Tamandua tetradactyla: one gene and its partners. The protein of the gene in region 1 interacts with the protein of each later gene in a biochemical or structural test. Links are inferred from orthologs where the notes say so. Each region holds a gene or a part of one and is shown on either strand. Other genes may lie near its edges.

Region 1 (7,643 bases):
CGGGGTCCACAATCATCTTGAGGGCGCGGTGCAGCTGGAAGTAGATCTGTGGGCAGGGAGCAGTGTGAGCAGCAGCGTGGTATCTGCCCACCCTGAGCCCACCGAGACTCCCGGCCCACCCGACCCCGCACCAGCTTCTTAGAGAGCAACAGGGCAGTGTTATTGTCACTCTCCAGGGCCCACGAGGCGAAGCGCAGAATGTGTTCCTGGTGTTTCTGGATCTTGGTCATGGTCCAGTGCTGCCGCTCCAGGCGCTCCTGCTGACCCTCAGTCACCTTCTGTGGGGTGGGGGCAGTGGGCAAGGGGTGGGGTCAGCAGGGGAGAGATGGCCCAGGACCCTTCCAGCCCAGAGAGAGAGACAAGACCTGGGCATCGTTAACCAGCACACGGCCCCGCTTGTTCAGCTCCTTCATGATCTGCAGGATGGCCATCTTGACATCCACCTGCACGCGCTTCTGCACGTCAGACACCTGGCGGATCCTGCAGTAGGCAGGTCAGGGCGGGTCAGCCCCAGTGGGCACAAGGCCAGATTCCCCCCACAGCCCCAGCATCCCCACTTACGAGCTGCGAACCTCCTTGGTGCTCTTCTGCAGTGTTGCATGCTTGTCCCCAAGGCGCTTTACCAGTGAGGCCAAGAGTTTGCGCTGGTTCCTCACTGCATCCTCCAGAAACTGATACCTGTAGGGCAAGGGGGAACATGGTGCTAGACACACAACACGGGATAGGCAGCCCACACCACCCTACCCAGGCCAGCCACGGGACTCACTGGTGGTCCTTGTGGGCATTGAGCTGGCAGTCCCGGCAGGTGAGGGTGTCACAGCTCTCACAGAACAGCACGAGTGGCTCGTGCTTGTGCACGTTGCAATAGACAGTGCGCTCGCCATCTCGCGACTTGGCTGGCCCTGCAGGGCGGGCACCATGAGATGGGCCCTCACCTCTGGCCACCCGCACCTCAAGCACCCCACAGAATGCTGCTGGGAGTGCAGGGAGTACCAGCCTGCAACCCCAGCACCCTATGCCCGAGCCTGGCCAGACAGATGTCCTGGCTCTTCCCACTTCTGAGAACACTGACAGTAAGGGTGCTCTCCACTGCTTTCTGCCCAGCTGTGTACTTCGAAACAGCTCCTACCCTCAGGCCTCCTGACAACACCCCCCTCTGAGCTTTCTCCTCCATCCGTGGCACCATCTGCCCAGCAGAGTGTGTTCACCCACTACAGCATCAACACCTATACGGAACAGACCCAAAAACACCCTGCCTATGTTCTGCTATGCACAAGAGCTGTCTGCTGACCTCCCCTTTACAGCTGAGCAAAACAAAGCCACACACCACTTACAACCTGAAAGTCTACAGGGGACCTTTCTTGGCTCCACTCATCTGAGGAGAGAACATGTTAGACCAGCACACTCTGGGACCAAAATAAATCACCTACCCTACTAGAAAGCTGCCCCGGCACATCGACCCTCCTCTGTCCATCTGCAACATCCGATTCTGTGACAGCTCACCTAGCCCAAGGCAGGTGTCACTTGAACAGAAATCAGCAGGCCTCAGTGTCCCAGCTGCTGCCTTCTCCAAGGCATCTACATCTGCCCTAAACCTAAGACCCAATGTGAACTCCTGTTCCTCCCTCTCGGCTACTCAGGCCCACTCCGGGCTGCACGGTAGCTCTGACAGGCCAACTCGTGGGCCAGACACCAAGTCAGGCTCAGGAGCTCCTGAGCCCCTTTCCACCCTAGAGCCACCCAGAAACTGGAAACAGCACCCGTGACTGTAGGCAGAAAACTGCCATCCCACAGCTAGGACATTTTGGGGGCTTCCTGTCACTGACAAACCCTGGGTCAAGAGACCCATGTCCCTAGGCCTCAATTTCCCCAGTGTTTCCTCAAGCCAGCGTACCAGAGAACCCCTAGTCCAGGCAGCCCCTCACATCCTTTGCAAAGGACACTGGCTTTCCCCACCTGTACCTGCCTCCCCTGCCTGGACCCTTCACAACATTCTCTCGCAAGGCTCTCCAATGCTATCTGCTCCCTGTGCACCGAGGCCCCTGTCCGAACCCCCAGAACCCCAACCCTCCTCCTTTCAAGGAGGTTTGCCATTAGGGACTGCTGGCAGTTCATCCTGAGGCACCCCATGTACCGGTGGAGCGCACGGTGTGGTCCTTGGTGTACTTCACCCGCTGGTGCGCCTCCACGCATGTCTCGCACAGCGGCTCAGAGCACTCCACACAGTAGCTGGTGGCCGGCGCGTTGTCCTCACAGCTGGTGCAGCACTGTCGTGCAAAGGTGGGGTCATGGGGGCGGGGCCGCAGATGGCTCCACATCTACATCCCAACAACCCCCACCTGAGAAGGGGCATCCCTTTACCAGGCCAGGTGGCCCGCCGGGAAGCGGTGGGCACCCTCACTGCTGATTCGGGCCGCAAGCCACCCCAGGCCCCTCCGCAAGGCAGGGGGGCAGCACGCACCTGGTTTGCGTCCTGGGAGTCGGTGGCGGCCTTGCTGCCATTATCGCGCATGAAGTAGTTCTCCACAATGTCTTTGGAGAAACACTGCTGCTTGCACACGGGGCAGTCCACCACTGCGAGGCCAGAGAAGAGCAGGAGAGGGTAAGCGCCGGCGGCCGCGGGGCGCTTCGGCCCGGGCCGTCCCCCGCCCCGCCCCCGCACTCACCCGCGCCGTCCCCCGCCGCGCCGCTGTCCCCGGAGCTGTTGGCCGCGGCGGGCGCGGCGGGCCCGAGGCAGGCGTTGCAGGCTGAGTGCAGGCAGGGAAGCAGGCGCGGCTCTCGCTCGGGCCGCAGGCGCTCCCGGCACACACCGCAGTGCTCCAGCAGCTCCAGCGCCTCCCCGCCGCCCGCCGCTGGCGACGACGCCGACGCCGAGGCCGCCGCCGAGGAGGCGGAGGCCGACGCGCGCTTCTCGCCGCCCGCAGAACCCTCGCCCGGGCCCGGGCTGGCCGAGGCCGCCGTGGCCGCTGAGGCCGAGGCCGAGGCCGCCGCCGCCGAGGCCGCCATTCACACGCCGCCGGGGGCGCCCAGGGGGGAGGAGGGGCGCAGGGCCCGCCGCGCAGGCGCAGACGCGATCGCCGCCAACGGCCGCGCCGCCTGGGCCGCCGCAGCCGCCGCGAGGCCGAGCGCCGCCCGGGCCGCCGCCAGCCGCGCGCGGGGCGCCGCCGAGGTCTGGCCGGCCGTCGCCTGCTGCCGCCCGCCGAGCCGCCTCCCAGACGACGCCGCCGCCGCCGCCGCCGCCGCCGTCGAGCTCCCGCCCTGCGCCACGCGAACAACCGCTCGCCCGCGCGCCCGCTCGCAGAAAGAGCCGCGGCCGGGGGGCGGGACAGAAATAACTGGCGCCGACGCCGTTGCGCATGCGCGCTGGTCGTCGCGCGGTCCGGGGGCGGGACTTGAGCCGACCGCGAACCTGTCAGTACGCACGCGCAAGCGCTGGTCCCTCCCACCACCGCCCCGCGGCGCGGCTCGCGCGGTGGGGGCGGGGCCACGGGACGTCCGTCCCGCCGCTCGGGCGGGCGCTCCCCCAGGCCCCAGCCCCACCTGTAGGCCGCGCGGAGGCCGGCGTCTGTACTGCGCACGTGCGAAACCTCTCCAGCCGTGGCGTCACCAATGGCTCCGTGGGGCGGGGCCGAGGGGAGGGGTCGAGGCGAGGGGCGGGGCCAGAGGTGAAGGGTCCCCATCCCTGCGGAAAGGGTGGGTGGAGGCGGGGACCTCGGTCGTTTAAACCTTTTTAATTGTTAAATGTGAGAAATACAGGAAATTGCCCCAAACCCTAGGGGTAACAAAGCAGTCAAACCGTGAAATCCCACCCGACCCCCCCCAAGCGTCCCCTCCCCGTCACCCAGCCAGCCTCCGTCCTGACTTTGATGCTTTGCCATCATCTGCCAGGTGGGCGTCTCGAGCCTCAACAGTGGGCCGGGGGTCCTGTCCGAGGAGGGGGCGGAGGGGTCCTGTTTGAGGAGGGGCAGGGGTCACTCGGCGTGGAGGAAGCTTGCGGGAGGGACCGCCACGGGGCGGGGGGGGTCTCGGCCGCTCTGCAGTGACCGCGGCGCGCACAGGGCCCGGCCTGCCTCAGTGTCCCCGGTGGTGGCGCGGCCTCGAGTCGCGGACACCGCGGCAGACGGGGAGGAGGCTTCCGGGAGGATGGGGGCCGCGGCGGGGGCTGGTCCGCTCCCCGGGGCGCCTGGACTGGGCGTGGCCTCCCCGGCGGGGCTGGGGGAGGGTCGCACGGCTTGGTTCCCGCCCCTGCCTTTGTTCGAGCCCCGGCGCGCGGCCCCTAAACTCCGAGCCCCGCCCCGCCGGGTGGTCGCGGCAACGGCGCCCTGACGCCCCCCGCGGTGGGGTTTCCCCGCTGACCTCGCCCGGCTGAGCCGGGGGCCACCCCACACCCGCAGCTCCTTCCCCGTTAAGGTTCCTGACCGCGGGCCCACCCTTCTCTAGTAGTTGGGGACGAAGATTGGTGGCCGGCCGCGCTGGGCGCAAGCTGTGGGTCCCCTGCCAAAAGTAACATATGTTCTCCGCCGCGTGCTGGGCCCCCGAATCCCAGGAGCTGGGGCAGCCCCGTGTTGGGCCCTGCGGCAAACGCCTGGTCGCGGAGGCAGAAGAACCAGGCTGCTCCAAATAAGTAGGTGATGGTCAAGAGCACAGAGGAGGGCCCCCTAAGGGCAGGACACCCCCACACCCTGAGGGCAGGAGCCCCAAGTGCAAAGGCCCTGAGGCAGGCCGGGCAGCTGGAGGACCTGGGCAGGTGGTGGCTAGGCCCCTGCCACCCTAGGGTCACCTGTGCTCCATTCCAGCCCCTACCCACTCCCTCACTAGATCCTGAGGAGCCCTGGGAGGCGAGGACCTACCAGACGGCCAGAGCTTCCAGACAGGCGAGATGAGCAGAGGTCCATCTGGCCTCCTACTCTCGCATCCCCCACACCCCTGACCTCCCCTTCGCTGCCTCCTGCCCTCCAGACACTACACCCCTTTGCAGACTGGAGGGGGTGAATTGAGGTGCTGAGATGGCTCCGCGTTCTCCCACCCACTGGCCTCTCTCACCCACTGGCCGTTCCTCCCTGACTCCCCACTCCAGCTCAGACTTCTGTCCAGGATTAAGGCTCAGAGCTGTTCAGAGCTGTTGTTTTGTTTTGATAAAAGCCTTATTGAGCTATAATTCATATAATTTTGCCCATGTAAAGGGTACAATTCAGTGGTTTTTAGTGTATTCAGAGTTGTGCAACCATCACTAATTCCAGAACTTGTCCAGTACCCCGAAAACAAACTCCTACGCACTGGCACTCACTCCCATTCTCCCCAACCAATGGCACCACTACTCTACTTCCTGCTTCAATGGGCTAGCTGCTCTTGCAGTGACCCTTTGGGTTTGTGTTCCTTTTTCTCCTTCCTTCATGCTTCCCAGCGCCCTGCTGTCCACGTGTCCTCACGCCAACCCCTTCCCACCAGCCAGCAGCCGGGGCCTCCGCTGGTACCCTGAGCCTCAGGCTGCACGTAGGCACGTCCGTGGGTTTATTACCTGGTGGGGAACTGCAGGGACGGGAGGTCACACCCTGTCCTGGATCTCAGTAGTTGTCACAGCTGCACAGCATTGCAAATGTACTTCACGTCCCTGAGGTGTGTGGACTACAGTGGGAAAGCGGAGCTTGTGTTCTGTGCTCTGCTGCACATGCACATGCAGGGTGAGTCTCCAGCCAGAGTCCTGGGCTCCAGCCCTGTGACCTCTAACTTCGCCTTGCTCCAGCCCCAAGGCCTAGCCTGCTGTGCCCACTTCGGAGCCTGTGACCTGCTGCCCCCTCCACGCAGACCACTCGCCACTCTGTTGGGCCAACTCCTAATGCGGTCCCTGAGCTCTGCGCAGTCTCGGTGGGTGCTATGTACCTGGGGGCCTGGGCCTGTGGGCGCCCAACGCCCGGCCCGCAGGTGTGGAGCCTGCAATGCGGCCAGGCTCTATCACTTTGTTTTTTCAATTTACTTTTCAGTGGGTGTGTGTATGCACACACACAGACACACATCCCATAAAGTTTGACCTTTTAACCATTTTTAAGCAGACAACTCGGTGGCATTACTGACACCCATAGTGTCCTGCAGCCATCCATCCCCAAAACTTTCCCAGCACCCCAAACACAAGCTTGGTGCTTCCTAGGACTGAGCTCCCGGCTCCTCCTCCCCTCAGCCCCTGGTACCCCATCCATTTCTCTCTGTGTGAACGTGTGGACTCAAGATTTTTCACATAAGTGGGGTCATATGCTGCTGTCCTTCTATAGCGCAGCACTTCATCCCCTTTTATGGACAGATAATATCCCATTGTATGAGCGTGCCACGTTTTGTTTGTAGGTTCCAACACTTTTATTTTTACTTTTTTTACTGAGGTAAAATTCACATAACATGAAACTTACCTTTTTAACCATTTGCAGCGTACCATCCAGTGGCATCTGGTACATTCACAGTGTCATGCAGCTGTCACTGCCGTGTGCTCCCACAGCATCCTCATCACCCCAGCAGGAAGCCCAGCACCCGTCACTCCCACTCCCATCGCCTCCCGGCCTGGAAGCCAGCAGGACTCGATGAGCTCTCAGTGGGGTTATCGACACAGAGGAGGGCGGGCACACCCTGCGCAGCCCTGGAGCCCCCCTGGAGCACCACAGATGCACTCTGCCTGCTTGATGCACAGACTTGCTCCTCCAGTACAGCCAGGGCTTCCTGCGTTTGGGGCCGCCCTGAATGTGCTGTCGCAAACACAGCTGCTGGATGGACACTGCCTGCCCTTGGCGGTTCCAAGCTGGGCTTTTCTCTAAGTGTGATGAGTAGACAACAGAAGGTCTTAGCAGACACAGCATGAGAATTCCCATTTCAAAGCCTCCTGGTGGAACATGGTTAGGAAGAGCAGGTATTAGTTTAACAAAGCTGCTGTAATGAATTGCACAGGCCACGCAGCTTAAAGCAACAGAAATGTATTCTCTTATAGCTCCACAGGCCAGAAGTCCTAAATAAGGTTCATTATGTAGAAATCAAGGTTTCATCAGGACTGAACTGCAGGGCATGTGGGAGGCTCTTGAGGAGAATCGGTTCCTGCCTCTTTTAGTGCCAATGGTGGCTGGCACCCCTTGGCTTTTGGCCCCGTCGCTGCAGTCTCCAAGGCCAGCCTCCTTGGAGCTCCCTGTGCCCTGAGGTCCTCCCTTAGGGATACACATGATGGCATCAGAGCCACCTGGTAATCCAGGGTGAGTCCTGTCACAAGATCCTCCTCAGGTAACACTTTAGGTTCTAGGGATTAGGACAGGGATATTTTCCAAGTCCAGTATTCAGCCGACCGACCGAACTTCCCATTTCAAAGGCAGAACAGCTGACCCTGAGAGGGGTGAAGGATGGCCTGGAGCGCCCCAGGCTGGATTCAGAAGTACCTGCACCTCTCCCACCTGCTGCGTTCCGGGGCGGGGCGGGGAGAGGTGAGGACAGAGACCACCGTCTGAGGTTACAGAGAGGGAAGAGGAGGGAAGGTCCTCAGGGTCCAGACTCAGGTTTCTCTCCTTGCTGAGAGCACCAGGAGCCCTGGGAGAAACGGCTGATTCCAGGGCCAGAGCAGTAGCAAGCCCAGGTGAGCCTGGAATACCTTCTTATGTCATGAAGTAAGGAAGTGCCCA
Region 2 (7,244 bases), on another chromosome or scaffold:
GAAGTCAGCACTTGTGTTATAACCTAGTCAAAAGAATTAAATAACATACATGAAACCATAAAAGAATAACATCTGCTAAACTTGTGATATAACCAGGAAAAATTTAAAAGAAGTTGTGCAAGACAAGAAAGCTTGCCAACTTCTCAAACCTCCAGGGTCCTCAGCCTTGGAGTTTCAAAAACAAGTTACTATTTTCCCTTAGCTTAAAATAAAAAGTACTCATTATAGTATGTGAAATTTTAACCAGATATATATATTGATGTTTTCTCAGCTCATCAATCATGCCCACCCCCACATCAAGGGATGTTCAAATGTTAGCATTTTGGTATGTTTATTTCCATACTTTTTCCCTGCCTCTATAAACCACATTTATATATCGGTTATTATATATTTTTTACTTTATTATAAAATGTTCACTTTATTTAAAATGTAGAACCTCTTTATTTTTTTCATGTAAAATTTCACCTCCTCTTGATATTTTTAAATACTTTTAATGCTATATTGAATTTTCCTTTCAAACTACAAAAACAATATGAGAAACAAACCAAATAACACAGATGATATATAGAGAAGAAACAGCAATCTCCGTCTTCCCCAGCATAACCAAAGTCAACAGACTGGTTTATATCCTTCTACACTTTGCTCCAGGTTCACACAAACCACACTATTCACATTCAGATATATCTCAACTGTCTAGTGTATATCTTTCCACACTTTTCTCTTTGTGGTTAATTTTTAAAAATAATTTTAAGAAGTGCATAAGTTATATATTATTGTGTAACTTGTTTTTGTCACTTAGTGTGTCATTGACATTTCTCAACAACAGTTGTAGATTTTTGATGGTTGTGTAGTATTCCATAATAATTTGAACAAGTTTCCTTTTGTTGGCCCTCTGGATCATTTCTTGATGTTGATGTTTTCCCAGCATCATCAGTGTCACAATAAACATTCTTGTGTTTATATCTTTACCTATTAGCACTTTTCTTTTTTTTAAGACAAATATTCTCCACAGGGGATTTTTGGTTGAAGTAAATGTATGTGTGTACTTACGATCTTAGTAAATATTTTCAGATTGCTGTTCAGATTATAATATGATGTCATACTATGGCAATAATACATGAGAGTATCAATTTCCCTGTATTCTGATAGCAATATAATTTGTGAGTTGTTTTTCTTTCTTATTTAAGGAGTAAAAATGATACTTCATTGTTTGAATTGCATATTCCTGACACTGATAGGGTTGATAATATATCAAATTTTTATGTAGTCACACATATTTAACTTTTTAATGGCTTCTGTCTTGTTTAGGAAGTTCTTTCTTGATCCAAAGTTATATAAATATTCTTCTAAAACATCTTATAATATTTTAATTTTTTTTTCATTTAGATCTTTAGTCCAATGGAATTTATTTTTGTATATAGTGTGAGGGAAGGCTCTGCATTTGTTTTCTTTCTATTAATAATCTGTTTTGCTGATTCCTTTTTATTAGTACACAGAGAGTCATTACTAAATCCCCTACTAATCATAATCACCTGATATATATCAAAGCTCTAAGACCATTTATTAGTTTATAGAAATAAACCTCCACACTATTTAGAATATTAATGTTGGCTCTTTATTTTCTCCCCATTGAGAAATTCTATATTGGAGGTCAAATTACTGTTGAAGGCTACTTAGGAAGTTTAGCATTAGAAAGAGTTAAATAATCTAATGATTAGTGTCAAAAGTCAGAATCTCTGAGATAGCCCAATACACCTATCAAACAAGGTGCCAGAAGTCTCATGTCATCAGTTTCACTAATTGTCATCTGAACGGTACTGGGGGCAAACTAACACATTTCTTATCATTTTTGGTAGAGTCCATATTGACCCATAACCATTATTCAATAATTTTTTTCCTATATGGAAACTTTCATGTAGGTTCTTCACTCATTCTTTTATTCATTCATTCATCCATCCAACAAATATATGTGCTAGTTACTGTGCTAGAGAACTGATGATACAGAGATGACCCAGGTGAAAAAATTTCTGATATAGTTGGGGGAGATAGTCATAAAACACTAAAGAAAAATGTTAATAAATAAAATAGTGTAATGTACTCAACAGTATACTGAATAGGAAATAGGGAGGATATTCTAAGGATGAAGGCACAGGCAAAAGTATAACAAATATGTGGAAGGCATGTATTTATTTTAATTTAAGATGTGATTCTAGATTAATGTTGTGCATATAAAAACAGATAGGTATATACGGCCTTCCTACCACCTTCATTTATTTCTACAAATAGCACTACAGTATATACACTGCTCTGCTTCTTGCACTGTGTCATTTGGAGGTCATTTCATGTGAGAATTTAAAGATCTTCCTTTTTTTTCCCTTTACTTACAAAATATGAAAAGCTCAATTTAGAATATACTAATGCTAAAAATTACAAGAAGGGCAAGGCCAGTGTGATATATTGAATCATGTACCCCAACAACAGACATGTTCTTAACTTAATCTGCATTCCTGTGGGTGTGAACCCATTAGTAAATAGGACCTTTTGAAGATGTATTATCAGTTAAGGCCTGAAATCATTTGTGAATAGGGTCTTCTAAGATCCTATTTAGGTGTGGCCAAACTAATTTATGGCAGACTTAATGCATATTATTGGAGACCTTATAGAAAGAAAGTCACGGGAAGAAAACTGAAGTCGGAAAATAGAAGACCAGACACAAGGAGGGGAAAAGAGAGAGATGTGATGGGGACAGATAGATGCAAACCAAGGAAACCCAAGGATTACAGGAAGCCAGCATCAGAATGCTACATATTTCGGGGAAAAAAGCATGGCCTTGCTGATGCCTTGATTTTGAATTTCTAGGCTCTGAAACCACCAGAAAATAAATTCTTATTGTTTTAGGCAACCAGAATGTAGCATTTGTCATGGCAGCACAGAAAACTAAGACAGCCAGATTCACCTGGGATCTAAAAAACTAAATCCGAACTTGTAGGCCATAGCCACTAAAACTACTTGAGTTTTAGGCAAATAGTTCTCAAACATTGGTAAGGCAGAAGTCCAGTCGGGACGTACAAAGACTTGCGGATTTAGATGGACCTTTGAGATACATTCCAACATCGTAATTTTTTTTTTAATTTTAGAAAGAAGAAACCGCTTAAGTGTATGTATACGGCACGCAGGTAACTGGTGGTATAGCCAGGACCAATATTATGGTTAGAGAAAGGTGTACTATAACCTCTGAAGGTCTTTCCTGCAGATATAAAATGCAGTGCTCACGTTGGTGACTCACCAAGCATTGGCTCTAAATCTGCCATGCATTGTAAGGGTCCTTAGTTAAGTCTAGATATGGAGTGGAAGAAATTTCACCCGGGGCCTCAGGTAAAGTAGAAATTAGAGGGGCTTCAAGTAGGGAAGGAACTAGTATTTTTCTAGGTACTCTGTATCCCTCATTTTACATTTAGCTCACCATAACTCTGCAAAATAGGTATTATTACCATTTGGGGGATGAGAAAATTGGGTTTAAAAAGGCTAAACTGCTCAAGCTTGAAGGATGTCCCCAAATTCTAGCCCAAATCCAGTGTTCTCCTCATACCGTTCCACTTAGCCCACACACTCATTCAGCACGTGGGAGAAACGAGACCTAGAGAAGGGAATTCACACACATTTGGGGCCAAGCTGGGACGAGAAACTATATCTGATGATCCCTATGTCCCCAGAGGGAGGATGTCCAGGCGGACACATGCCTTCAGGTATGTGACAACCTGCACAATTCTACAACTGATAGGAAAATAAGCAATCGACTTCAAAGAGAAAGTAAGAAGAAAAAGCCAAAAAGGAGCTGTCAGACTGTCGTGGAGGGGTGGGGGGCGTTCTCTGTTCCTCGTCTTTCATTAACAAAACAGAAATGACTATCCATCACATTTCTGGAAGTGAAGCCAGCTTCATTCTTTTTCGCCTCTCAGGAACATTTAACCCTTCGCTAAACAGAGGCAAGCCTGAGGTAGGCAAGTGTGTACTTTAGGCAGAAGTGAACCAAAACTTGAGCCATCCCGGCAGCAATTATCTGAGAACAGATTGAGAGAAGTTGAAAAAGCTGCGAAAGGGCGAAATCTGCGGCGCGACGCTTCTGCCCTAGAGGGGCGGGGCCGCGGGCTACGGAAGTCGCGTTTCCTCCCAGCCCAAGCCAAGCCCTGACGCCGCGGCTCAGCCCAGGCCTCCGCCCCACCACCACCACGTGACCCGCGGTGTTATGGTCTGGCCCGCGAGGGTGGCGGGAGCCGCAGGAGGGCGGGGGCGACAAGGGGGCGGATCACGTGATAAGGTTTAAATCTCCCGCAGACAGAGCCGCGGGGGCGCCAGTGCCGCGCGTCGAGCGGGAGCAGAGGAGGTAAAGGAGGAGGGCCAGAGAGGCAGTTGAAAGATGGCGGACGAGGCGGCACTCGCCCTTCAGCCCGGCGGCTCCCCCTCAGCGGCGGCGGCCGAGACGGAGGTCAGGTCGCCGCCGGCGGGGGAGCCGCTCCGGAAGAGGCCTCGGAGAGACGGCCTCAGCCTCGGGCGGATACCAGGCGAGCCCGGCGGGGCGGCCCCCCAACGTGAGGTGCCGGCAGCGACGGCCCTGTGGCGGGAGGTGCCGGTGCCGGTGGCTGGCGGAGAACGCGAGGCCCGAGAGGGCCAGGCGGCCGTGGCGACCGGTGGAGACAATAGGCCTGGCCTGCAGGGCCTATCCCGAGAGGTGCCGCCGGCCGACGACTTCTACGACGACGACGACGAAGGCGAGGAGGAGGAAGAGGCGGTGGCGGCGATTGGGTATCGAGGTGCGCAGGGCGCGGGCGTTCGGAACTGCGCATCCCCTCTTCCCTCCCCGGGGCCCCTCCTGGCGGTAGGGTGGGTGCTTCTGGAGCTAGGCCGGGGGCTTGGGGCAGGCCCTTCGGCGTCCCTGCCACCAAGCTCCCTCGTCCAGCTGCGCTCTTCCGAGGCGGCCGGAGAGGCCGCGGGAGCGGCCCAGCTAACTCGCTCCTTTGCTTCTTGGCTTCCTCCCTCCTTCCCTCTGTCTCTCCGTCTCTGTTCGCCGCCCACCGGGAAGGCCCTGCGCTTTGCGCAGCCGCTGGGTCGGGAAGCTCTAGTAGTTGGCTTTAAAATAAGTTTTTCCCTCTCTCCTTTTAGCATATTGCTTTTGTTAAAGATTTTTGCTTATCTCCGCCCCCTCCCCACTCCAAGCAAAGTCTGCAACTTTCCGCCTGTCCCGTTAATGGACCTTTGCAAACGGACATCTATGCAGATTGTTACTTTTTTTGAGGGTCTATATTTTTAAGCTTGAAGTTTTAAATTTTAAGGAGCAAAACTATTTGTGAAAACATAGTATGTAAAGTTTAAAGAACATGGCTGTTTCGAAAGACGTTATTCTGTGATGCAATTAACATTGGGCACAGAGAATGATCGTAGTTTTAAAGTACTTTATGTAGATATTCTTTTCCTTCTAATCATGTTCTTGTTACGGTTTTTAGGCTAAGTATACTCTTTCTCAGTGTGTATATATAACCCTGAAACACGAATTGGCGTTTTTCTAGGATGCTGGGGCGGATGCATTGGTTCTATGTAGCATGTCATCCATGAGGTTTTCGTATCTTTAATTTGAGCACTTGATCTCAAATAGGTGTACGTCTGTATCAATACTTATGTGTGCATTTGGGATTGAATTAGTAAAGCAACCCTTCATTGCAAGAAACTCCATTTAGTAGGAGAAACGAATAATGCAAAGATATCTTCTGTCTAATATTATATAAGAGTTAGAAGTGCAAATTGCTGTGCTTATATTTGAACCTCTTTTATAAGTTCTTTTTGGATAGTATTCATGAACTCTATTGTTTGTGATTGACAAATTCAATTAATCCCTATCTTTTTGGTTTCATTTTTTTTAATAGACTTTATGTTTAGATTTACTTTTAGATTCTGGATAGAATCCCTAAAGATGAAGTTACCGCTCTCATGAAGAATTCGACTTGATCCAGTAGGCATTCATCACACACACAGCATGATATTAAGTGAAAATCTTGTATCTAACTGTTATAGGTCTTCATACATTTTAGATGCAGGTAGTTACAGCGGTCTTGAGTTACTTTGGTTTCTTTTGCAGATAACCTTCTGTTCAATGATGAAATTATCACCAATGGCTTTCATTCCTGTGAAAGTGATGAGGATGATAGAGCCTCACATGCAAGCTCTAGTGACTGGACTCCAAGGCCAAGGATAGGTACTGTTTCAAATCTATACAACTTTAGAGACAAAGTGGTTTTTGTTTGTTTATATTTTCCTTTTGTGCCAACTAAAAATATAATTGTCCCCTAATGTGAGGAAGTTCTTTGGAGATTGGTAAGATTTAATGCTAGCTTTTTCTAGGGAGTTGAGTGTTCTGTTTTATTGTTGTTTTTAAACAGCTCAGGCCCATGGAAGCTGGCCTCTGCTATTTCTCAAACAGTCGTGTTCTTCCCACACTTCTGGTTCTTTGCACTTGTACCCTCTGGAATGCTCTTCCAGTTAGTGTCTTGTTCCCTCACTTTGTGGTATTTACTTAAAGGGTATCTTTTTCAGGAGACAGATCCTAAACCCCATCTAAATTTTGACTGCTCTTTTCACTACAGCCCAGCCAACCCACTTCAAATCTCTTCTTAGTTTTTTTCTTGATATTTCTTAACAAACTTGTATTTTACTTATCTTTTTATTGTCTGCTTCTTGTGCTAGAATGAAAATATACTCCATCGAGGCAGGAAATTTCGATTTGTTTGTATATGTTTTTTCTGTGTCTTAAAAAGTACTGAAACATAGAATGCACTCAAGAAATATTTCTTAAAGATGTGATTGTGATGGGAATGTATTTTGAAGTAGAGAACACTATCAGATATTTATAGCAAAGGCGTAACATAACTCTTGAAGGAGATCTTTTTCTTAATGTGTTCTCTTTTAAATGGCTTAACTATTTTAAAATACTAATGATTAGTTCCTTTTTAGTGCCTGTAATACTTATTACATTTTTGGCTTTTTCTCAAGCTAGGAAACTGATCTGAAAAGATTCAGGGTAAAAGAATATATACTTAATGCTCAAAACATTGTTGACACTGTATGTATTAGTTTCCTAACTGCTAAAACAAAAAAAATACTGTATGGTTGGCTAAAATGACATCCAAAATCAAAGCATCAGAAAGGCTATGCTTCCTCTCCAAAGACTGTGGCAGAGTCTGGCTGCAAGGGAT
Region 3 (6,906 bases), on another chromosome or scaffold:
CTCGGGCTCACCTGGGGAATGAACAGTGAGTTCTGAGAGCCTGAGAGGCAAAGCTAGGGACAAGGGCAGAGGCTTCCGCAGGGAGTGATGCTGATTGTAGACATCATGTCAAAGGGGGCCCTGCCAGCCGTCAGCCCCTCCACCAGCCTGGAAATCCCCAGGACCTGGTACAGAGCAGCCGCGTGAGAAATTCACCCTGAGCGAGGGCATGGATGGGAGGCATCTTGTGAATGACACCCTGCCCCAGAGAAGGTGGGTGGTCACCACCTACTAATTCCTACTGACTCCAGAGTGCAGGGTGTGAGGACTCAACTCAATTCTCTTACAGAAAACTTGCAGACTTTGATCCCCAGAATGTATTCACCCAGAAGATGATAAATGATGAAAAGGTAACGTCTGAAATTTAAGGGCCAAGTGGTTCTGAGCGAGAAAAAGACTCGTGGTTGGTGCTTTGGGGCACTTCATAAAGACCAAGGATTTGCTCTGGCCTTAAAAAGATGACTGAAATTGTGTGTGTGTTTGAGAGAGAGAGGTAGAGATAAGTGAGTGTTGCTATGTCTCCCGGGAATATAAGGATGAGGAACAAATGGAAGGCATGAGAGGGGAAAACAACATGTGTTTAGAGGATGGAAATACAGTGAAAGGTTCAAACATTAGTTAATACATTTCATTTGACTAATGTTTTACAGTTTGGGAAGGATTTTAATAGTCTATCTAATTTCATCTGCACAACAATCAGGAGAGATGGCTAAGGATTATCTCCAAATTACAAATGGGAAACTGGGCCCCAGAGAGGCCCAGTAACTTGCCTAAGATTACACAGCAAATGGCAAAAGCATGACAAGAACTCAGGCTTTCAGACTCAAACCCTGTGTTCCCTTTCTACCACCCTCTAGTTACTGCTGAATAGAGGCAAAAGGAGAGATGGCTGGAATGGGACCCAGAGTGAGCAGGGATATGAATGTGGGGCTGAGGAGTCTGGAGGAGTTCTGAAGGCTCCTGAGTAGAGAGGAATGTTAGGGATGTCATCCCAAGGACTGTACAGAGACACCTGGAGGGGCAGGCCTAGGAGGGAGGGAAGAGGGAGGGGAGGCTAGGGCAACAGCAGTGTGGTCCTGGAATGTGAACACATGATCTGATGCAGGGAAGGAAGTCCCAGAGGACCAGATAAGCCAAAGGGGGGAGGAGGTTGGCAAAGACATCAACAGGGAGGGAGCTGCAGTTAGGAAGAGGGGAAGCTACCAGAGGCAGTGTAGAAGGGGAGGCTGAGAGTTCTGCTTGCTTGTGTGTGAATCTGTGGGTGGGGCTGTAGGGGAGTGTCCAGCACGCAGCCAGGGCCTGGTTTTGGAAGATGCCTTCCCGGAAGGAATAGCTGGAATTACAGAAGATGATGAGAGCTTTGAGACAGAGAGGGTAGAGGGCCAGTTGGTCCTTCATGGCTCTGAATTACTATGAAAAGCTGAGAGAGGCTCTATGCGCTTTACTTAGCATCACAGGGAATGTGTGATAGATCTTATGAGATTCAAGTGTAGTTACGATAAAAGCTTGGGTGCTTAAACAGAGTTTAGCTTTATTTCACTGAATTGGAGTATAGCATCCCCAATCAAGATAAGCTGATTCTTAGAGGCTTCATGTTAAACAAGAACACCTAAAGTTAAAAGTGAAAAGAAAAAAAAAAGTCAAAGGACACTTCAAAGATGTAAAGGACAGTTTCACTGGTAACTCCTAAAATTGGGGATTTTCTCCTAAGCAAAAAATTGTTGCTATGCACTAGGATTTACACAGTGTGGTTTATAGTATGGGAAAAAAATGGAAATAACCTAAATGTTCCATAATAAGGGATTAATTGGGTAAATTTTTGTTTATCCTTATGACAGACTAATATGTACCCATTATAAATGACACTGGAGCAGTACATTACATTTCATGGCATGGAAAGATGCTTATACACACACACACACACACACACACACACACACACACAGATGATTATCTGTGAATTAAACAAGTTATTGTTATAAAGCACTTTTTACATTCTCCAGTTGCCTTTATAGGATCACTCGGGTCAATTTCTCAGGGCACTACATGTAACCTTCCTCTTCCTAATTTCATTCTGAATTTTCCAGTGGCAGTGTCTATCCCTCCCCAGGTTCTGGGGGACAGCACAGGTATCCACTGACAGAGAACAGACCTGAAAACTCAGGAGCTGCTTATTTTCTGTTCTTGCTCAGAAATTCCTGGTCCCTGTCGCAGGGTTCCATTCCCATTTATTACTGATCTTTCCTTCCACCTGTCCCTTTCAGGGCCTCAGCACCTTCCGTTTTCCTTAACACCCAACAGGGCTATTTCCTTGCAGTTCCTCCTTACTTCTCTTATAGCCACCTCTGTCTGGGTTGGAGACAGCTCTGACTATTCCTGCTGGTCTCCTGGGAACCAGGTTTAGTGTCAACTATAGTTCTCAGATTCTGGTGCACCACGTTTGGAAAAACCCCTCGGCTTTCTCTGTGGGAGGTAGGCAGTGGGGTGACTGATAGGTGGAATGCGGTATCAATGATTGTATTAATAGCCTGCATCAAAGTAATTGGGTGCTGCTGTGGAGGTAGTGCTGGGGTGTGGAGTGACACAAACAGCTCTGCTTGGAAGAGTGATTTACTTCTGAGTCAGCAGCTTTGGGGAGGTGAAGGAAGGGACTAGACATGCCTGGCCACAGTTCGGAAAGGAAAGAGGAACACTCAGCTCAGCCTCTAGGAGTACAAGGTGGGCAAGGTTTAGTTGTGAGCACAGAGCTAAGCTGTTACCCTTACCAAGGGACCTGGGGCCTGGATTCCCCAACTCTCAATCCAGACCCATGGCCTTGGCCAGCCCCAAGCAGTTCCCCCATGCTGCCCAGAAACCCTTTGGACAGGCCTTGGGAACCCAGAGGCAATACCATGCAGAGGCCTTGTGAGGATAAGGAGGTGGCCTAAAGAAGGAGTGCTAACAGGGACCCAGGCTGCCTCAACCCCCAACCCAACTCTGCAGCCCCAGCTTGTCAGGATCCCTTCCTCTCCTCCCTTTCCAGAAGTCCAGCCAGGGGGCAGGTTCAGGGATGCAGGACACGAGGCGGAGGGATCTCGCTGGTCACTGTGAGATCCTGGTGCAGGATCCTTGCAAACCATGTAGCATGTGCCGAATGGGACAAGGCACTTTACAAACATCACCTCTCTCGTCACTGCAGCTCTGCAAGGTAAGACTGTTATTTTGCAGTTGAGGAAACTGAGGTCCAGAGTACCTTGGCAGGATGTGCTATAGAGACTGGACTGAAATTGCCTCCCGCGCAGCAGCCCCAGGCAGCGCGTCAGACAGGATCGGCTTTCAGCCTCCTTTCGTCCCTAGGACAGGCGAGTGACCCCTCAAATGGGGGCTGTGTGAGGGCCAAAGCCCTCCCTTTTTGACTCCCCATTAACAGGCTAGAAGAGGCAGGCTGTTTCTTCGGGCTTTAGTCACGTGGGGAGGGCGTCTCTTGGGGAGGGCGGCAGGTGCCTGGATAACCCCTTCACCTGTGCACGCAAGAGGGGAGAGGAGGTGGCCACAGGAGCTTGCAAGCTGCAAGAAAGCAGAATGGGCGGGGTTAATTGCGGCCGGGACGTTCGGCCTTCCAGGACAACCTCTTTTCCAGGACAGCTGGAGTGGGGGTAGAGTGGGTGCCGGCGGGGCGGGCCCACGGTCGCCCCCGGGCGGCTGCGCCGGGCCGGAGGGGGTGGGGAGGAGCAGCCGCCCTGTACTTCCCCTTCGCCACTAGCTCTACAACAGCCTGATTTCCCCGAAATGATGTGGCGGCGCCCGCCAATGGGCGCCCGCGCGACTCTAAGGAGGCGGGGCCGGGCCTGGGCTGGGGGAATCCCGCTAAGTGTTTAGATTTCTCGGTGGCGCCGCTGTCTCGGCAGAGCGCGCCACTCCTTCGCCAAGGCAGGACGTGCGCCCAAGTCGGGCCGAGCCCAGCCGGAGCCGTGCCAAGCTTAGGCTAGCCCTGCCCGGAGGCCCTGCAACCCAGGCATCCTCTGCTTTCTTCCCCTTCCCACCCGGATCGCGCTACCAGCGCCCGCACAGCCGTCCCCCGCCTCGCCAGGACCCTTGGGCGCCGCCTCCAGATTTTCCCACTGGAGAGGTAAGTCCGCTTTCGCCGCGGGGGAAACCGGCGGCGTCGAACAAAAGGCGCGCGGGGCACCAGGAAGTAGGGGCCGGACGCCCGGGCCGGGAGAGTCGCGGGCGCGCGGCGTAGCCTGGCCCCCGCGCGCGCTCGGGAGGGCGCTGCAAGAGCGGCGGGCGGGCGGCGGCGCGGGGAGGGCGGGCTACGTCGTGGTCCGCCCACCCCGCCGAGGTTGCGGGAGCCCTGCGCTTTCGCAGATCCTGTCTGCGCGAAGCGGCCCGGGACATCGGGGTGACCCGGTATGTCCGTAGCGTGCATCCTAACGCGGTGCGCGGGGTGTCGGGTGTACGCCTCGCTTGGGCGACCTGCGCTCCTGACTCGGGCTTTCCGCGGTCTCAACTCTGCGCTCAGGCCCCAGGCTTTCGGGCCCCCTTGTGCTTGCTGGTGGCTGGGGTGAAGCTTGTCCCCGGCTAATCTGCCGGGGCTGCCGGAGGAGGCGCTACAGGTGCTTTGGGCCACTTCGTCCGGGGAAGGGAGTTGAGGGATGAGGACGGGAAGCCAGGCCAGAAGAGTTAGTGTCCCGGCCTGAGCGCCGTGACTGGCAGGCAGATGTAGAATGGATTTTCGGGACAAATGTCCAGGGCGCAGGTGCTGCTTGCTCATGAGGGGAGGTGCACAGCTAAGTGGTTACAACTCAAGCCAGAAATCTCTTGGATAAAGCAAAAGAATCCCCTCCCTTTCCAAAGGATTTGGATTTGGGGAGAAAAGTTCCGGTATTGAGACATCCGTATATTTTGTCTCTTTTCCTGCACTTGAATCCTGAGCTTGCCTGTCTGTTCCCGGGATTGGTGGGAGGGGGAAATAAAGGGCAGTAGTGCCCTTTTTTTTTTTTGTCTGAGATGTTAAAAAGATTTGGGTGGGGGGGTGGTTTTATTCCAGCACAGATCTCCTCCCTATAACTGCAGTGCCTTATAACCTGGCCCCAGGGTTCCTAGAGTGTGTGAGAGAAGAGGAGAGTAACTGAGTGCCTTCTGGTGGGGCAAGATAGTGCCCAGGGGCTGATAAACAGACTCCAAACAGGAGCCCTCTGTCTTCTCTTTACAGCCAACATGCCCATCACTCGGATGCGCATGAGACCCTGGCTAGAGATGCAGATTAATTCCAACCAAATCCCGGGGCTGATCTGGATTAATAAAGTGAGTGTAACTTTGGGTTTTTCCTTCACGATTTTAACCCATGTTCTTTGGAGACCAAAGTTTCAGATACAGCTCAAAAAGGGAAGTGATAAGGGGACAGACAGATGTGTTTCCTGGTGGGTTGTGCATGCAGGGAGTGTGCAAGGACACATTTGCCCTGATTCCTGCCTTCCTCCCTTCTCTTGGGAGACAGGACGCCTGCCTGTGGGCACTTACAGTTTCTAGCAGCAAAACTCTCCCAGCATCTGCAGAGCTTGAGTCCTGGCCTTTCTTGAGGGAGACCCATACACACACACACACACACACACACACACACACACACACACACAAAACCATCCTTACAGGGCTCCAGGCAGATAGACAGAGAAGTGGGCACTGCTGGATAGGAAGATGGCAGGCTTAGCAGAGATCCAGAATTAACCTTGAACCAGTTGCCCTGGCCAAAGAAGCCTCCAGCTGATGTGCTTAGGGAAACCTGGAGACTGCAGACATAGTGATAAGAATAATATTCATAACATTAGCCAATACTTAATGACACAGCGTGCCTGGCACTGTGCTGTTTTGTGTTATGTCATTTAATCCTCACAGTAGCCTGTGAGGTAAATTCTATTAATACACCCATTTTTATTTAAGGGGACTGAGGCCCTGAGGGTAGCTAATGAGATCACATAGAAAGTTAGAAAGCCAAGATATGAACGTGAGCAGTCTGACTCAAAAATCCACTGTTAACTACCAATAACAGCATCGGCGAGGCCTCAGTCTTTATATTTTTCACTATGTCCCCCACACATCCTCTAATTTTATCCCTACAAAAAGCTCTTTTAGGTCTCTTTTCTTATTTCACAGAAGGGAAAACTGAGGGGCAAAGAGGTACAGTGATAGTGCCAGGGTGACAAAGGTCATTGGCATCCAAGTCTGGTCCAGGGCTCCCGCAGGTTAGGCCAGGACCCCCTGTGGTCCCGGATGTCCTGAGCAGGTCCCTTTAATGGAAGTTCTCAGCAGCACCTTTCATGTGGATGCTGACAAGCCAGACAGAAGCATCCTAGAGCTTAGAAACCAGGGCTACACAGGAGTGGACTCTGGGGTGGTCCTAGCACACCTGTAATAGGCAGAAGGAGGTCTTTGCTGAGCTGATGGTGCCCCAGCATCCAGAGTTTAAGTCAATCTCAGGGTGAGTCAATGTAAGCTAGATGTCAGGATGAAAAGGGAAAGTCAGCCTTTATCCCAGACTTAGTTCCAAAGGCTGTGGTCTCTGTGAGGTGATGCAGCCTTGTCTGTGCTGTCTAGGAGGAGATGATCTTCCAGATCCCGTGGAAGCATGCTGCCAAGCATGGCTGGGACATCAACAAGGACGCCTGTCTGTTCCGTAGCTGGGCCATTCATACAGGTATGTACCCTGGACTCCAGCCTGGGAGGGGCCAGGGAGGAGACAAGGGAAGGCAATTCTGTTAATACGGGGACTCTTCACGGGCATTCCTGAGCTCCTGAGACTTGCAGAATTGTGTGTGGGTGGAGAGCAGACTTGTGTTTCTGGGGAGAAGAACCACTGTTTCAATAAGTTCTTAGAGAAATTTGTGAAGC
Region 4 (7,362 bases), on another chromosome or scaffold:
GAATCATATTCAATTGTTTGGATGTTCTACATTTTGGTTATCCATTCATCCATTGATGGACACTTGGGTTGTTTTCTTCAGCCCTCTTTTGATGGCAAGAGAACTTAATTCCTTCTGTTCAGATGAAAGCAACAGTTGATGTTATCCACATCATAACAATGCAAACATGTACATACCATGTGCTTACCACATGCCAGGCACCATCCCTACACACTTCAGTGGCATTTCTGTACAGTCCTTACATCAACCCTACTAGGTGGCTATATTCAAGAGCCCCACCTGACAGGTGAGGAAACTGCTGTTCAGAGATATTCAGTAACCTGCACAGATTTGCACAGCCAGTAAGTGGCAAGGTCAACTTTAGAGCCAGGAAACCTAGCTCCAGAGTCTATGAACTTAACCATCTCGCTAAGTGGCCTCACTCCAAAGGGGAATGTTAGGCCTTGTGGGTGCTGGCTTGAGCTGTCTATCATTGTGGATGACTGTTGTAAATAACTAGAAAGGGTCTCTTCCATGTATTTTGTGCCCTCTGCATCGGGCTCTGAGCATCTCATTTCATCCTCAGGATAACCCTGCCAGCTAGAACAATCACTCTTTCACAGACGAATACACCAGTTTTGTAGAGATTGGGTAACTGGCCCAAGATGTTCAGGCTAGTAAGGGCTAGAGCCGGAAATCCCACAGGCCTGCCCAACCCAAATTCTGAACTCTTAAAGAGGTTAAGAGTTACAAGACTTCATTCTTTTATGGCTGAATCATATTCAACTGTTTGGATGTACTACATTTTGTTTATCCATTCATCCACTGATGGGCACTCGGGTTGTTTTCTTCAGCCCTCATTTGACAGCAAAAGATGACGTAGGCACCATCCCTACACACTTCAGTGGCATTGCTACAGTCCTTACATCAACACTACTAGGTGGCTACATTCAAGAGCCCCACCTGACAGGTGAGAAAACTGCTGTTCAGAGAGGTTCAGTAACCTGCACAGATTTGAACAGCCAGTAAGTGGCAAGGCCAAGTTTAGAGCCATCATCATCTTCTCATCAGGGATGATGTCCAAGAGATTCAAGCTTCAGAAGGGTTGGGTTGAACTAGATGACTTTTACAGTTCTAGCCAATCCAAGTTACTGAGCATCTTCATTTCCTTGGCTGCTCAAGCAAACACCATGCAATGAGTTGGTTTGGACAATTTGAATTTATTGGCCCACAGTTTTAAGGCTAAGAGAAATCTAAATCAAGGTATCATCAGACAGATGTTTTCTTCCTGAAGACTGGCATGTTGGAGCTGGGTGCTAGCAATCCTTGGTCCTTGGCTTGTCAGTCAAATGACAATGCACATGGCGGCCTTTCCTGGCCTCTGTATTCTCTTTCAGGTTCTGTTAAATTTCAGCTTCTTGCTCCCCATGGCTTTTTTTCTGCCTGAATTTCTTTCTGCTTACAAAGAACTCCAGTAATAGGATCAAGATTCATTCTTACTGAGGTGGGTCACACCTTAACTGAAGTAGCCACATTAAAAAGGCCCGACTTACTATGGGTTACACCAACAAGAAGGTATTACATTTAAGACCATGTTTTTTTGGGAGTACATACAGCTCCAAACCATCACTCTAAGGGATTAGAAATCTGAGATGTAAATGGGCAAACCCTTGAATGGAGTGGCTATACTAGTTACTAGGCCAAAAGCATTAGTCATCACGTTGCAGATTTTATATTTAAGGAAATATATCTCTTCTAGACATTTTTTTAACATTCCATGCTACTTCTCCTGAAAAGTTGCATGAGGAACAAAGAGCTAAGTGCAGTTTGTGCTGCCTCAAGCGGTCTGCCCTCTCTGCAGTGGTTATCAACACCCCCTTGGAGAGACAAGTACTGTCTTTCCTGGTGGTACCACCACCTTCTCTTGTAAGCCTCCCCCATGTGACATTCCTGGGCACCCTAGATTCCACCGACGAAATTCAGCAGTTTTCAGTTTTCATCTTGATTAACCCATCTGCAGTTTTTAGCACAGCCATCACCCCCTGCTCCTCGACTCATGGGCTTCATCTGGCTTTTGGATGCCACCTCTCTTGATTTCCAACCTACCCCTCCTTGGCAATCTCTCCCAATCTCATGGCTCAAAACAACTGAGGTTTTCCAATGTATACCTCCAGCAATGACCTCTCCTCTGAACTCCAGACTCATAAATCCACCTACTTGGCAGTCACTTGGATGTCTAATGGGCACTTGAAACTGAGTATGTCCCAGAATTAGTCCCTACTCTTCAGGTGTCTCCAGCATACTCCCCTCCTGGTCTTCTCCATCTCAGTTAAGGGCAGCTCCATTCTTCTCCAGCCTTTGAATCATCCCTGACTCCCCTTTCTCACACATTTCACTTGTCAAAAAATCCCATCAGCTCCACTTTCAAACTATGCCCAGAATCCAACCATTTCTTATTACCTCCATGGCTACTTTCTCTGCCCAACCCCCCACCATCTCTCAGTAACCTCAGGAGTATCTGTCCTCTCTCCTCTTTGGATTAATCTAAACACAGTAGCCAGAGTAATCATGTAAAAACATCAGATTAGGTCATGCCTTTCCTCTACTGAAAACTCTCTAATAGTTTCCTTCCTACTGGAGTCAAGGTAAAACCTTCCACAGGCTCCCAGGCCCTATACCACCATCCTACCATCCATGACCTTATCTCCTCCCTTTTGCCCCTTGCTAGCTCTGTTCCAGCTACAGTGTCTCCTGGCCATTCCTCCAACATGCCACACCCTCTCACCCCAGGGTCTCTGCACTTCCTTCTCTCACTGCTGAAAACATTTTTCTCTAATCTCCACTGGCTCCTTCCTCAGGTCTTTCAGTTCTTTGCTCAAATGTCACTTTCTCAATAAAACCTCCCTGACTCCTCTATTTATCTCTTCCTCCCCAACATTCCCCATCTTCCTTTCCTATTTTGGTTTCCTTTATAGCACTAACCCCCATCTAACATATTAGAGCTATTATTTAGCTTGTTCATTGCCTCTTTGTTACAAAGTAAGCTCCATGAGGGCAGGAGTTTTAGCTGTTCTGTTCAGGCTCTATCCCCAGTTGCTTACGACAGTGACCTAGTAGGTACACATACTAGACAGCACATAGTAGGTGCTCAATAGATGTTATGAACTGAATCAGGGCATGACCAGCCTTAGGGCAGCACTTCTGTGGTTGCAAAGCAGTTAAGGGATGGGCTGTGGAGCCTCAAGGCCCCAGAGCTACCATGGATTAGCCGTGTGGTAGGTAGGAGGCGCTTTTCTGTCTCTGCAACTGTTTTGCTTTTCCTCTGCAAAAAATGCAGGTGCTGAAAGTTAAGATTCCCTGTAGCCACCCCCCACCTTTTTTTTCTTTCTTAATTTTACTGTGGTAACATAAAACAAAATTTTCTATTTTAACCTTTTTTTTTTAACATGGGCAGGCACTGGGAATCAAACCCAGGTCTGCGTCATGGCAGGCAAAAATTCTGCCTGCTGAGCCACCGTGGCCTGCCCTATTTTAAGCATTTTAAGTGTATAATTCAGTGGCACTAATTATATTCACAATATTATGCTGTCATCATCACTGTCCATTACCAAAACCTTTTCATCACCTCCAACAGAAACTCTGCACCAGTAAAGCAAAAACTCCCCATTTTCCTCTCCCACCAGCCTCTGCTAACCTCTAATCTGTCTCCATGCATTTGCTCATTCTAGATATTTCATATAAGTGGAATCATACAATATTTGTCCTTTCGTGTCTGGCTTAGCTCATAAACTCAACGTAACGTTTGAACGCTTCACGCACGTTGTGGTATGGACCAGCACTTCATTCCTTCCAACAGCTTTCAAATTATAGGACTCTATAAAGAGGAAGAGGCCTGAATTAAGGATTCACACCTGGGCCATCAGGGCAGGGGCATCCACTTCTGAGGTCGGTCAGAAAAACCAGGTAAACAAGCCCAGCAGGGGTCACCGGCGATGGAAGGGCAGGGGGCGCTGCGACCCGGCCACGCTGGGCTGCGGGGATGGCTTCTTCACTTACTAGCTGTGCAATACTGAGCGAGTGACTTAACCTTTCTGAACTTCTGCTTTCTAGTTTGAAAAATACAGAAATCAATCAATCAGTCAATCACGACTGTACCTCTCGGGCAGGACTGTTGTGAGGACTGAAGGAGATCAGATGGGCGGCCCCGAGTGACGCTCCACAAACGCAAATGGCTGTGCTCCGCCCACACCGAGGCGTGTCCGGGCGACTGCGGGGTGCGGGGAGCCAAGAGCACTGCAATATCAGGCAGTTTGAGTGAAATCCCCGCGGGCGGGGTTGGCGTGGGGGGCCTGGGAGGGACCCGAGCGTGGGGGGCGGGGACTCGGCGCCTATAGGCTCCGCCAAGACACACCCCTCCGGTACGCCGCTTGGACCAGGTCCGCTCTTAACGGTGCAGACCTTCGGCGCGCTTGGGTCGAACTCTTGCTGCCTTGTCGCCGCCTGCACCTGCCGCCCAGCGCGCCCCAGTCGGGTCCCATCATGACGGACCAGGCGCCCTTCGACACTAATGTGAACACCCTGACCCGCTTCGTCATGGAGGAAGGCAGGAAGGCCCGCGGCACGGGCGAGATGACCCAGCTGCTCAACTCGCTCTGCACGGCGGTCAAAGCCATCTCCACCGCCGTGCGCAAGGCGGGCATCGCGCACCTGTGAGTCAGGTCTCCGGCTGCCTGGGGTCGCGTCCTGTCTGTCTGTCTGTCAGGCTGGGGATCTCCGACACCTGGCTCTCTGGCCACCTGCTGTCAGCCTTCGTCTCTCTGACATCTAAGAGTCTCTCACTCTCTCTGATAGTTCCTCTCTCTCCAGAAGCCTGCTTAGCCGCACTCAAACCCAGTCGTCCACCCTTAACCTTGGAGGGACCCAACTGGGGGTGTTGGGGGTGGGGTGGGGCGAGGAGAGTCTGTCTCCCAGGTCGAAACCCGCACCATCCTGCACCCCTTCTACTTGGACTGAGCAACCTGCCTTGACAACATCTCTCAGCTCCTCCAGATGCAACAGACTGGCCAGGGATGGCACGTGGCCGGCCCAAGTGCCCCATCCTAGTCTGGGATCATCTCACACAGGAACGTGTGGAGTGGATGCCTTACTTTCTGGTTCTCTTTTTTGGGATTGGAGTCCCAAGTCAGGTTTCCAACCCACTATCTCTTTGACTCTAAACCCGGGCAGGTGGGAGGGAGCCTGCCTGCACAGAGCTGCAGAGCTGTTTTCATGCAGTGTTCTGGAGGCTGGCCCTGCCTGGGGCAATTGCTGTGTTGTCCCACAAACACAGAAAACTCACCCAGACAGGTTAAAAACTTCTATCCAATGCAGTAATGGTGTGTGCAGCCCTTGCCCAAAAGCTGTGTGTAAATGAAAGAGTTTTAAATGAGCTAGGCTATGAATGTACCTCAGTTGTTGGCATTCCCAGGAATTACTTAGGAGGATCCTCTTAAAATGTGGCTGGGGGTGGGGCCTGAGATTCTGCATTTCTAACACATTTAGAGTGTTCTACTTGTGGGGCCACAACTCTAAGAAGCAAGGACTTACGAGGCATGGTGACTCAAAGGGTACCTTCTGTGAAGTTTCCTGTAAGTCACACAAATACCTTCTAATTTATCCTGGTGCACTAAATTATTTTATTGACTGGCCGTTGCTGTAACTGAAGGGTCCCTGGGTTTTCAGATTGCCCACACTGCTTCCTAACATTTCTCATGATTATGAGCATTGTTTTTTAAATGATGCATGATGCTCATAGCTGATCTAAAAAAAAGTGCAACCTTCCTACTTTGGAATGCATTTTCTACATTTATTAAAACGGCCCCTCTCCCTACACACACACACACACACACACACACACACACACACACACACACACACACACACACACACACACACACAAACTTCCTGCAACCTGGATTCCTTTTCAGGCAGCCCGTTTGGTACCAGAGTATGGGCTGGTAGAGCTAACTCTTCAGAAAGGAGCGCAAGATCACATGTTTATTTTCAGATATCAAGCAGGGTAAGAGAAATTGGAACAGGTATAATAGAAAGGTGGTAGCTCGTTACTAATTTCATCTTTGACCTTTCTTAATAACATATTTCTAAGGATTCTTTGCTTTAGGAAACATGTTCAGTTAAAATCTCACTTCAGATTTCATTTTCGAGTATCGGTGGCCTCATGACTGAGAAAAGGGAGCTTTTTTTAAAAAAAGAACTTATCATGTCTTCTATTTTTTAAATGTTTCAGTACCTTTCAGAAACCCATAGAGTCTCAGAAACTCAGGATATGTTTTGAGGTGTATCTTTCCTATCTTCTAAGTAACCTCAGTGTTTTCTGATTGCTTTAATGTTTTTATGAACTCTGAACACTTGGAGAGAGGTGTGTTTTCCCTGATCAGATAATGCCTTCCTTGTGTATATGACTATGAGAGTGGATTCTGGACAAAGGGTGCTCATTTTAGCTGCATGAAATATGTGTATTTTTAAACTAGATAGTTGTGATTAATTGTTGTTACTATTATAATTTAATCAAGAAATTTCATTCACTGACAAAAATTCAAACCATTCAAAAAACATAAAGCAATAAGTGAAATTTGTCCATTCCCTGGATTTTCCACTGTTAGTAATGTATGAGTTATTTTTCCCAGATATTTCTTAATAATCAGAAAAATTTACACATGGACATATATTTTACATATGCTTACATGTAAATATCAAACAAAATGGGATCACACTTAACATACATTTCTGCAGTTTGCTTTTACCATTCAACAGTCTTATAATGAGCATCTTTCGCATCAGGACATGTAAATCTACTTCCCCCCTTTTAAAGGCTGTGTAATATTCCACTGCCTGGACCTATTGCAAAGTTATTTTATGACTGTCTTTGGGCATTTAGGTTTTCACTAGTATTTGCCCATTATAAATAGCATTGTACCCTTGGAACTGGTGTCAATGTGTAGTCATGATGGTGGCTGGTGGGAGAGAACCAGAAACCTGTGCACTTAAATACTCCTTTGGGAAAGGAAGAATTTGGCTCTTCTCCATATGACATGTAGTCAGGCTGGCAGCAATCAAACATGATCTCGAGTCAGGCCTCCAAATTACATTCATTACAGGCTTTGATTTCCCAGATGAAAAGCCCAGAGTGCCTGCAAAAAGATTGTTAGTGCTGGGAACTTGCCCTAGAAGGATATTCACCCAGAGGGACAGGATGATGGCAGATTTGCAGTGACTTCACAGAAACATGTTTAAGGAGCATGACGATGACATCTCATCGAGGAAACATCAGAAATTGAGGCGTACAGCCAGATTTCCTTTCTCTCCATCTCTCATTTTTGCCTA

The links.
Region 2: of the proteins of TRIM28 (region 1) and SIRT1, one has a biochemical effect on the other in vitro, tested with the Homo sapiens proteins (2 studies listed by BioGRID). The link is inferred for Tamandua tetradactyla from reciprocal best matches to the Homo sapiens genes TRIM28 and SIRT1.
Region 3: the proteins of TRIM28 (region 1) and IRF1 form a complex in vitro, tested with the Homo sapiens proteins (2 studies listed by BioGRID). The link is inferred for Tamandua tetradactyla from reciprocal best matches to the Homo sapiens genes TRIM28 and IRF1.
Region 4: the proteins of TRIM28 (region 1) and FBP1 form a complex in vitro, tested with the Homo sapiens proteins (2 studies listed by BioGRID). The link is inferred for Tamandua tetradactyla from reciprocal best matches to the Homo sapiens genes TRIM28 and FBP1.

The regions. Positions count from the first base shown.
Region 1 is NC_135342.1:134,509-142,151, forward strand, and holds the start of TRIM28 (transcription intermediary factor 1-beta), read right to left. Parts: upstream 3,022-7,643; 5' UTR 3,007-3,021; coding exon 2,667-3,006; intron 2,575-2,666; coding exon 2,462-2,574; intron 2,268-2,461; coding exon 2,135-2,267; intron 903-2,134; coding exon 767-902; intron 679-766; coding exon 562-678; intron 481-561; coding exon 366-480; intron 279-365; coding exon 132-278; intron 47-131; coding exon 1-46. UniProt on the Homo sapiens protein: Nuclear corepressor for KRAB domain-containing zinc finger proteins (KRAB-ZFPs).
Region 2 is NC_135339.1:29,581,766-29,589,009, reverse strand, and holds the start of SIRT1 (NAD-dependent protein deacetylase sirtuin-1), read left to right. Parts: upstream 1-4,237; 5' UTR 4,238-4,417; coding exon 4,418-4,811; intron 4,812-6,130; coding exon 6,131-6,247; intron 6,248-7,244. UniProt on the Homo sapiens protein: NAD-dependent protein deacetylase that links transcriptional regulation directly to intracellular energetics and participates in the coordination of several separated cellular functions such as cell cycle, response to DNA damage, metabolism, apoptosis and autophagy.
Region 3 is NC_135346.1:11,122,394-11,129,299, reverse strand, and holds the start of IRF1 (interferon regulatory factor 1), read left to right. Parts: upstream 1-3,900; 5' UTR 3,901-4,147; intron 4,148-4,361; exon of another isoform or gene 4,362-5,233; 5' UTR 5,234-5,238; coding exon 5,239-5,325; intron 5,326-6,612; coding exon 6,613-6,712; intron 6,713-6,906. UniProt on the Homo sapiens protein: Transcriptional regulator which displays a remarkable functional diversity in the regulation of cellular responses.
Region 4 is NC_135328.1:121,205,354-121,212,715, reverse strand, and holds the start of FBP1 (fructose-1,6-bisphosphatase 1), read left to right. Parts: upstream 1-4,358; 5' UTR 4,359-4,518; coding exon 4,519-4,688; intron 4,689-7,362. UniProt on the Homo sapiens protein: Catalyzes the hydrolysis of fructose 1,6-bisphosphate to fructose 6-phosphate in the presence of divalent cations, acting as a rate-limiting enzyme in gluconeogenesis. Plays a role in regulating glucose sensing and insulin secretion of pancreatic beta-cells.